Mus musculus: one gene and its partner. The protein of the gene in region 1 purifies or fractionates together with the protein of each later gene. This does not show direct contact. Links are inferred from orthologs where the notes say so. Each region holds a gene or a part of one and is shown on either strand. Other genes may lie near its edges. The genes, in order: Gba and Canx.

Region 1 (4,540 bases):
ATGATTGCCAGTTGCCAGGACTCAAACCAATGCAGCTCCAAGCAACTGTAATTTAAATATTGCCAGAGCTGAAGAAGATAACTAATCAATTTTTTAAAAAGGGTATGTGGTAATTATAAGAATGTAAAAACCTCACTCAGCAAGCATAAAGCTCCTAATGTGTAATTACAGACTTCCCTTGACTTCTCTTGCTAACGCTAGTAATGGTTCTGTGAGACTATGCTGGTGTCTATGTTGGGCAAGTGTGGAAACAGGCTCAGACTTCCCTTGACTTCTCTTGCTAACGCTAGTAATGGTTCTGTGAGACTATGCTGGTGTCTATGTTGGGCAAGTGTGGAAACAGGCTCAGAGACCTGGACTTAGTCAGATCACGCTGCATGTGTCACTGCCAATTAATCAACTTTATTGTGGCTCACAAGGAAACCCGGACGACAGCCCTCTTCTTGTGTCCACCAAAGACAGACAGCATTTTCCAGTTTCCTGGGAGGAAGGATGAAGAGCTTTCCAGCCAGCATCTGATGATAAAGCAAGAGAATCCAGAAACGGCCAGTGGGGACCACTCCCTCCCTTGGTCCTGATCTCCAGAGCCCGACAGCAACTCCCTGCACTTACTGTGACTCCCCCCCCCCCCCCCCCCCGCCTGTTCTTCTGGGAAGGGTCCCCTTTCCTCTCAAGGAGTCTTGCAAGTATACCTCTCAACATTTCTGTCTGTCTTCGCCTGTAACTCCGTGTAAGTGTCTGACTCATGTGTCTCACTAGTCTTTTTAGGATAAAGATTGTGTGTATGTGGGGTTTGTTGTTGTTTTTCGAGATAGGGTTTCCCTGTGTAACAGGACTGGCTGTCCTGGAAATTGCCCCATAGACCAGGCTGGCCTTGAACTCACAGGGATCCGCCTGCCTTTTCCTCCCAAGTGCTGGATTTAAAGGCATGTGCCACCAATTCCAGGCTGTATGTGGGGTTTCTAAATTTTGTTTTTATTTATTTTTATTTTTTTAAAAGATTTTATTTGGGGTTGGAGAGATGGCTCAGTGGTTAAGAGCAGTGACTGCTCTTCCAGAGGTCTGGAGTGTCTGAAGACAGCTTACATATAATAAATAAATAAATATTTTCTTTAAAATATTTATTTATTTATTTTTTATATATATGACGAGTACCCTGTAGCTGTCTTCAGACACCAGAAGAAGGCGTCAGATCCCATTACAGATGGTTGTGAGCCACCATGTGGTTGCTGGGAATTGAACTCAGGACCTCTGGAAGAGCAGTCAGTGCTCTTAACCGCTGAGCTATCTCTCCAGCCCCTTGTTTTTATTTTTAAATTTTATTTTTAAATTATGTATATCTGTGTGTCGGTATGTGCATGTGAATACAGTGGCCCTCACAGGCTAGAAGTCCTCTCTGTCTTGGATTTAGGAGCCTCTACTCAGCTGTCCATACAATCCTTGTTAGAATTCTCTTCCTAAAGGTGTCATCCTTTAGGCCTCCCCAAAATTCACAGGGTATGCAATGAATGACTAACCTAGAAGAGCCCAACTGCCCATTACAAATATGGCTTCGATTGCTTCACTTCCTGCATCACGTGACCGGCTTAGTCATCATGTGACTCTGTCCGCCCCTTTAAGCCGGAAGGAACTTGCTGTGCTAGTCGGTTCCAAGAGCTATGATATCTGTCTGTGTTTTATTTGGTAGGTCTTCTATCCCTCCAAGGCACAGAAACTTCCACAGTCTTCTCATTCGCTGGTCCTGAGTAGCTCCAGTTTCCAAGATCTTCTGGAGAGGTAAGCGGGCAGGGCTACAATTTGCCTTGTCAATCTTGCTTCGGGAATTCTGCCTATCTAGATTATGGAATTCGGTGAGTTCAATTTTTTTTTTTTTAAATTCAGGGCATCATGGCTCTTTGAGGGCACAGATGGAGGGAGGGCTGAAGGTTGAAATCGATGGGGGAAAAGAGTGAAGAGAGTCTTCTTTGGAGTGGGCAGCAAACTCCCTAGCAGAGTGAATGAATGCAGGACGCCTCCAGGGTCTACGGGCACTGTCTAATCACTAATAAAGGTGGGAGCCTATGCTGTGAGCATCCACAGGCAGCTAAACTCTGGCCAGGAGGGTGGTTGCAGGGTAGAGAGAGTCTTACACTATTATCTTTCCTCTACATTTTCTTCTCAGAAGTGTGCTGGTGTCATGGCTGCCAGGCTCATCGGATTCTTCCTATTTCAGGCGGTATCTTGGGCATATGGTGAGTCTAGGATGGAGATGGAGGCATGAAGGTGTCCCCTGCCCCCAAAGTCCTCTGGTAGCCTTCCATTATGGTGCTGAAATTTCAGTAGGGACTCTGTAACTCTTTTAGAATGCCTGAGACATCTTTGGGCTGGGAGTATGGTGGAAGGATTTTTTTAAAAAAATATTTATTTATTTATTATATGTAAGTACACTGTAGCTGTCTTCAGACACACCAGAAGAGGGCGTCAGATCTCGTTACAGATGGTTGTGAGCCACCATGTGGTTACTGGGATTTGAACTCCAGACCTTTGGAAGAGCAGTCGGGTGCTCTTACCCACTGAGCCATCTCACCAGCCCGGATTTTTTTTTTTTTAATTGTTGTTCTGTCTCGTACCTAGCATGCCCACTCCCTCATAAACCCGCTTTGATGCCTGCCTCTGCTTGTGCCCTGCCTCCTAGGTGCCCAACCCTGCATCCCCAAAAGCTTTGGCTACAGCTCAGTGGTCTGTGTCTGTAATGCATCGTACTGTGACTCTCTTGACCCCGTGACCTTACCGGCTCTGGGTACCTTCAGCCGTTACGAGAGCACTCGACGTGGACGTCGGATGGAGCTGAGTGTCGGGGCCATCCAGGCCAATCGCACTGGCACAGGTAGCCACTTTATCTGTCCCTCTAAGCCTGGACCCAAAGTCACACCAGTGATCAGCATGTCCTCTTCTGGACTCTGACTTTTCCTCTTCTTTTCCCAGGGTTACTACTCACTTTGCAGCCAGAAAAGAAGTTCCAGAAAGTGAAAGGATTTGGAGGCGCCATGACAGACGCCACTGCGCTCAACATCCTTGCTTTGTCCCCACCTACTCAGAAGCTGCTACTCAGATCCTACTTCTCTACCAACGGTGAGGAGGGCAGAGCAAGGTGGTACACTGTAACTTATGCCCCTTTTCATACCCTGGCTTTATTTTATTTTTAAATTTTTTATTACATTTCATTATCTCTTGTGTGTGCTGTGCATGAGTGAGGGGGAGGTCAGAGGACAATTTTCGGGTGTCCACTGTCCACCATGGGACCCATGGGCTAGAGTCGGGGGTCTTCCCACGGAGCTGTCTTGCCAGGCTTTTTGCTCTTGCTTCCATACTTTTCCCGGACATTTGCCTCCCTTCCTTTTCTTCTCTCCTCGCCTCTGTAATGCTCCTGGAGTAGACCTCATGTGTTCCAGACAAATCTACTGTGTAGTCAGTGATGGCTGAACTCCTGCCTCTCGTCTCCTGAGTGTTGGAATTACAGGTGTGCATTAGCAAGCCCAGTTCACACAGTGTTGGAGCTCAAACTTAGGGCGCCATGCATCCTTGGCAGGCATTCTGCCACCTGAACTACATCCCCAGCCTGCCTCTCAGTTCTTACTCTTTCCCTTTGTCCCATCCCTACCTTGCTTTACCAGGCTTGCCTCGAACACTGTAGCCATGACTAGCCTCGAACTCTTTTCTGACTTAGTTTTCCAAGTGCTGGAATTACAAGTATTATGCCACCAAGTGTACCAGGCCGATGGTTCCTGACTCAGTGCCACTGAAATACGATCACCTTTTTCAATATTCTGCTAAGTACTTAGGAAATACATGTGCAGAGGGGCTTCGGTTTCACTTAGGTTCTGGTCTCCACAAGCCCACACCTAGACCCTGGCTCTGAATGAGGGCCTATTGAGGACTAATAACTGATTAAAGCCAATTTTCATACTCACCTTGTTTTATTTTATTTTATCTTATCTTATTTTGAGACAGGGTCTTGCCTTGTAGCCCTGGCTGGCCTGCTCACATTGATCTGGCTGCCTCAGCCTCAGGAGGAATGGGATCACAGGCATGGTACACTTGGCTCCATAGTCTCCTATTGATTCAGATCTCCCTATCTTGGCCATCAATTCCTGCAGGAATTGAATATAACATCATCCGGGTACCCATGGCCAGTTGTGACTTCTCCATCCGTGTCTATACCTATGCTGACACCCCTAACGACTTCCAGTTATCCAACTTCAGCCTCCCAGAAGAAGACACCAAGCTCAAGGTGGGCATTCTAGTTGCCTCAGCCCTATTGGATTGCCGTCTTGGGGCTGGGAAGGTCCAGGTTAGAGCTGTCTCTAGAGCAACATGGAACATTCTGCAGCCTATTTGACTTGGGGGTAAGAGGGTGGGGGCTGATGGTTGGACCTGATGCACTGGTAGAACTAGTATGTGTTCCAGCTCTGGGTGTCTCTCTCTTCACTGTTTGTCTCCAGATACCCCTGATTCACCAAGCCCTGAAGATGTCCTCACGCCCCATTTCACTCTTTGCCAG
Region 2 (3,812 bases), on another chromosome or scaffold:
AGCCCCTGTAAAACACGGCCCAGTATTTACAGAACTACCACTAAAGAAAATCTCAGTGGATACAATTATTTAGTTAGACATTCCTACCTTTCCAGAACAGCAGAAGAGGATCACAAGGAACACTGGCAAAGCTACAGTCAAAATGTAGACCACCCAAAGCCATGGACGCTCTTCAGCTGCCTCCAGCATCTGCAGCACTACACCTGGCTGAAATACCAAACAACAGTAATTCAGAGAACTGGTTTATGACACCAAATACAGACTCGACTGATTGCTTCATATTCATACAACTAACTCCTTTATTTCCAAAGGAGTCAAACTATGCACATTAAGAAATTAGGAAAAGCCGAGCAGTGGTGGGTGACGCACACCTTTAAACCCAGCACTTAGGAGACAGGCGGATTTCTGAGTTCAAGGCCAGCCTGGTCTACAGAGTGAATTCCAGGACAGCTAGGGAGACACAGAGGAACCTTGTCTCGAAAAACCAAGTTAAAAGAAAACAAAACAAAAAATAGAAATTAGGGGGAAAAAAAAATCCCCCGCTTTACTGCTTTTATCATCATGAAGTTTCACCTGCATAGGTGCAAACTGTGGCTTGTAATAACTGCAAAAAGTTCCTTACTCAGGAAACAGAAGAATTATCTTTCTGCCAGTTTTCTGGCCATCCAAATCGCAACTCAACAACACCATTAGTTATTTGAAAATTCCACACAATTCCAACCAAGATTCAGCATTTTCAGTGCATTAAAACATACTTAAGCCAGGTGCAATAACACATAACTTTAATTGAAACACTGGAGGCAGAGGCAGGTAGGTCCCTGTGAGTTTGAGCCCTCCCAGTCTACAGAGCAAGTTCTAAGACAGCTAGGGCTACACAGAAAAACTGTCTTGAAGACAAAATAAAATAAAATAAAATGATAAACAGATACAAATATACACATACATATAACAGGATTGGAAAGCCAGAATAGGAGTCTAACAATTATATATTTTGACACTGAATAAGTAAAAAGATAAACACTAAAAATCTGCTTTTTATAAAGTAATCAGTCTCCCCCAAAAGTGGATATAAATCCACAATTAATGAACAATCACTAACCTCAGCAGCCCCATCAGCAGCTTTCTTCAGGCCCCACCCATCATTGGCCCAATCATCAACTACTCTTCGGTCACCACTAATGATAAAGTTGTCAAAAAAGATGTCGGATGTCATGGACCAGAGCTCCAAACCAATAGCACTGAAAGGAGTCATCTTAAAAGGTTCTAGGTCTTCAAAGAAATCTGGATTTGGTATTTTCCTTGGTTTCCAGATTCCCTAGTTTGTGATTTGGAGAGGGGAGTAGGTTGGGGGTGAGGCAGAGACAAAAGAAGTTTCAAAACATCATTTCAGATAATAACAAAAAAAGAAAATCTATGTAAGACTCATTTTATATGATCAAAGAAGATAAACATTAACTGCCAAATTTAAACAAGCACAGAACAATAAATGCTAGTAATGTTTTTATACTGAATTCTTGACTTCTACCAAATTCAGTCTCCAATCTGCAGGATCTTATTCTGAACCAACACCTGGTCCTGCGTAGCTCACTCCACCCTCAACAAGTGATGGTGGAATGTAGTCAGTAAAGCCATTTCCCATTCCCCAGAAGTGATTTTAAAAAATGGGCTAGGGATGTAGGCCAGAAACACAGCACTTACACCTAATATGCATGAGACACTGGATTCAGTCTCAATACTAATCCTCAACAAAACACAATTGGTGGTGGCCAACCGAATAGCTAAATGTTTGGTTTGGTTTGGCTTGGTTCAACAGGGATTCATACACCCAGGATAGCCTTAACCTATCCCTGATCTTCTTAGTTATAGCTGAAGTTGACATTTCAACTCCTGGTCCTCATGCAGATAACCAAGTGCTAGAATGACAAGCATGTAACAAAGACATATTCAGATAGTCAAATGGCAAGCTAAAGTATAATTTTTGTTTGATCAGTTATCTAAATGGACAACTAAAAACATTTTACAACAGAAAAGCAAACAAAATATATACATATAGATAGATGCACCATACATCTAAAAGTGTAAGCGAAAATTTATGACTATAGTTTTTTGGTTTAGAAACTGAAGCCAGGAAGGATCTACATTGGTACCTTCCCAGAACACAAGTGGAGCTTCATAGCTTCACTATACATATTACTACCGCTTCATATGTACCTACCTATCTTTGGCAGAAAACTGATGAGACCAAGCAATTAGCTGACTTGGCAAGATCCAATTCCCATCACAGTTCCCTTATAGCCAATCTATGCACTCAACAATAGGGTATCCACACCCTAAGTTCTTCTACCCTACTTTTATTTTTAGATATAGCTCACTATGATGGTTTGAAGAGAAATGGGCTCCATAGACTCATGTGTTTCAATGCTTGGACCATGGGGAGTCACACTATTAGGTGTGGCCTTATTGGAGGAAGTATGTCACTGTTGGGGCAGGCTTTGAGTTCTTGTATGCTCAAACTCTGCCCAATATGGCAGAGTCCCCTTCTGCTGCCTGCAGGCTGCCATGCTTCCCAATATAATGACAATGGAATCAACCTCTAAAACTGTAAGCCAGCCTTAATTACTTTCCTTTCTAAGAGTTGTCTTAGTCATGGTGTTTCTCTTCATAGCAATGGAAACCCAAACTAAGATAGTCACATAGCAAGTTCGAACACTCCTCTTTCCTGTTTTTTAGGTTTTATGTTTAGCCCAATATTCACCTGTCTCTTAAGTTTACTTTCTCTTTTTGATTTGCTGGCCTTACTATTGATCAAGCTTTTGCCCAGACACGAACAAATTAATAAAAACACTTAAACCATCAGGAGACACAAACCTGGTAGTTAGGGTTGTCAATCATTGGAGGCTTCCATTTGCCCTTATAATTGGGGTTGTCAATCATAGGTCGCTGCCAGACACCACACCCAGGGGCTGACTCACACTTGGGGTTGGCAATCTGAGGAGCCTCCCATTCTCCGTCCATATCCTCATCCCTGTGGAGGTATAAACAAACAACTAGTCTTATGCTCTCAACATGTTTCTGGAGCTATACCAGCAGCATATGACAGAACGATATCTCATTTCTCATTTCCACTATCAATGCACTCTCATAAACTACCTACTTTGTTTTTACCCAATGAAATTTAGTAAAGTTTGTAAGGTTTTTCACTCAAACTTGGGCAGTTGGCTTTTTATTTTTCCCTTTAGGTTTTCAGACAGGGTTTCTCTGGTAGCCCTGGCTGTCCTAGAACTCAGTGATCCACCCGCCTCTGAGTGCTGAGATGAAGGCATGTACTACTATACCCAGCTTTTTTTTTTCCCCTTTTGCTTCTTTTTTGTTGTTGTTGTTGTTGGGGGAGAGGGGCACATAGCTATTGCTTTGATTGATTGATTGATTGATTGATTGATTGATTGATTTTGGTTTGCCCAAGACAGAATTTCTCTGTGTAACAGCTTTGGCTGTCCCAGAACTCACTTTGTAGACCAGGTTGGCCTCAATCTCAGAGATCTGCCTGCCTCTGCTGGGATTAAATGCTTGATTTTAATTGGGGCAGTTTAGCAGTTAAGAACACTGGCTTCTCTTCCAAATCCAAGTGAGTTGACACATAGACAAACATTAAGGCAAAACACCAAAGCACATAAAAATAAATTTTTAAAACAAAAACCAGGTAATGACAAAAGCAACCTCAAACTCACCAATCCTCTGGCTTCTCTGCATCAGGGTCTGGAATATACTCAGGTTCGTCGTCTAGCCAGCCTTCAGGCTTGGTGGCCTCTTCA

The links.
Region 2: the proteins of Gba (region 1) and Canx purify together in Homo sapiens (affinity purification with mass spectrometry; 3 studies listed by BioGRID and IntAct, with this or other methods). This does not show direct contact. The link is inferred for Mus musculus from reciprocal best matches to the Homo sapiens genes GBA1 and CANX.

What each region holds. Positions count from the first base shown.
Region 1 is NC_000069.6:89,201,311-89,205,850, forward strand, and holds the start of Gba (lysosomal acid glucosylceramidase precursor), read left to right. Parts: upstream 1-1,617; 5' UTR 1,618-1,776; intron 1,777-1,881; exon of another isoform or gene 1,882-2,050; intron 2,051-2,161; 5' UTR 2,162-2,176; coding exon 2,177-2,231; intron 2,232-2,674; coding exon 2,675-2,866; intron 2,867-2,964; coding exon 2,965-3,111; intron 3,112-4,136; coding exon 4,137-4,270; intron 4,271-4,481; coding exon 4,482-4,540. UniProt on the Homo sapiens protein: Glucosylceramidase that catalyzes, within the lysosomal compartment, the hydrolysis of glucosylceramides/GlcCers (such as beta-D-glucosyl-(1<->1')-N-acylsphing-4-enine) into free ceramides (such as N-acylsphing-4-enine) and glucose.
Region 2 is NC_000077.6:50,298,030-50,301,841, forward strand, and holds part of Canx (calnexin precursor), read right to left. Parts: coding exon 3,729-3,812; intron 3,026-3,728; coding exon 2,869-3,025; intron 1,316-2,868; coding exon 1,100-1,315; intron 208-1,099; coding exon 88-207; intron 1-87. UniProt on the Homo sapiens protein: Calcium-binding protein that interacts with newly synthesized monoglucosylated glycoproteins in the endoplasmic reticulum. It may act in assisting protein assembly and/or in the retention within the ER of unassembled protein subunits.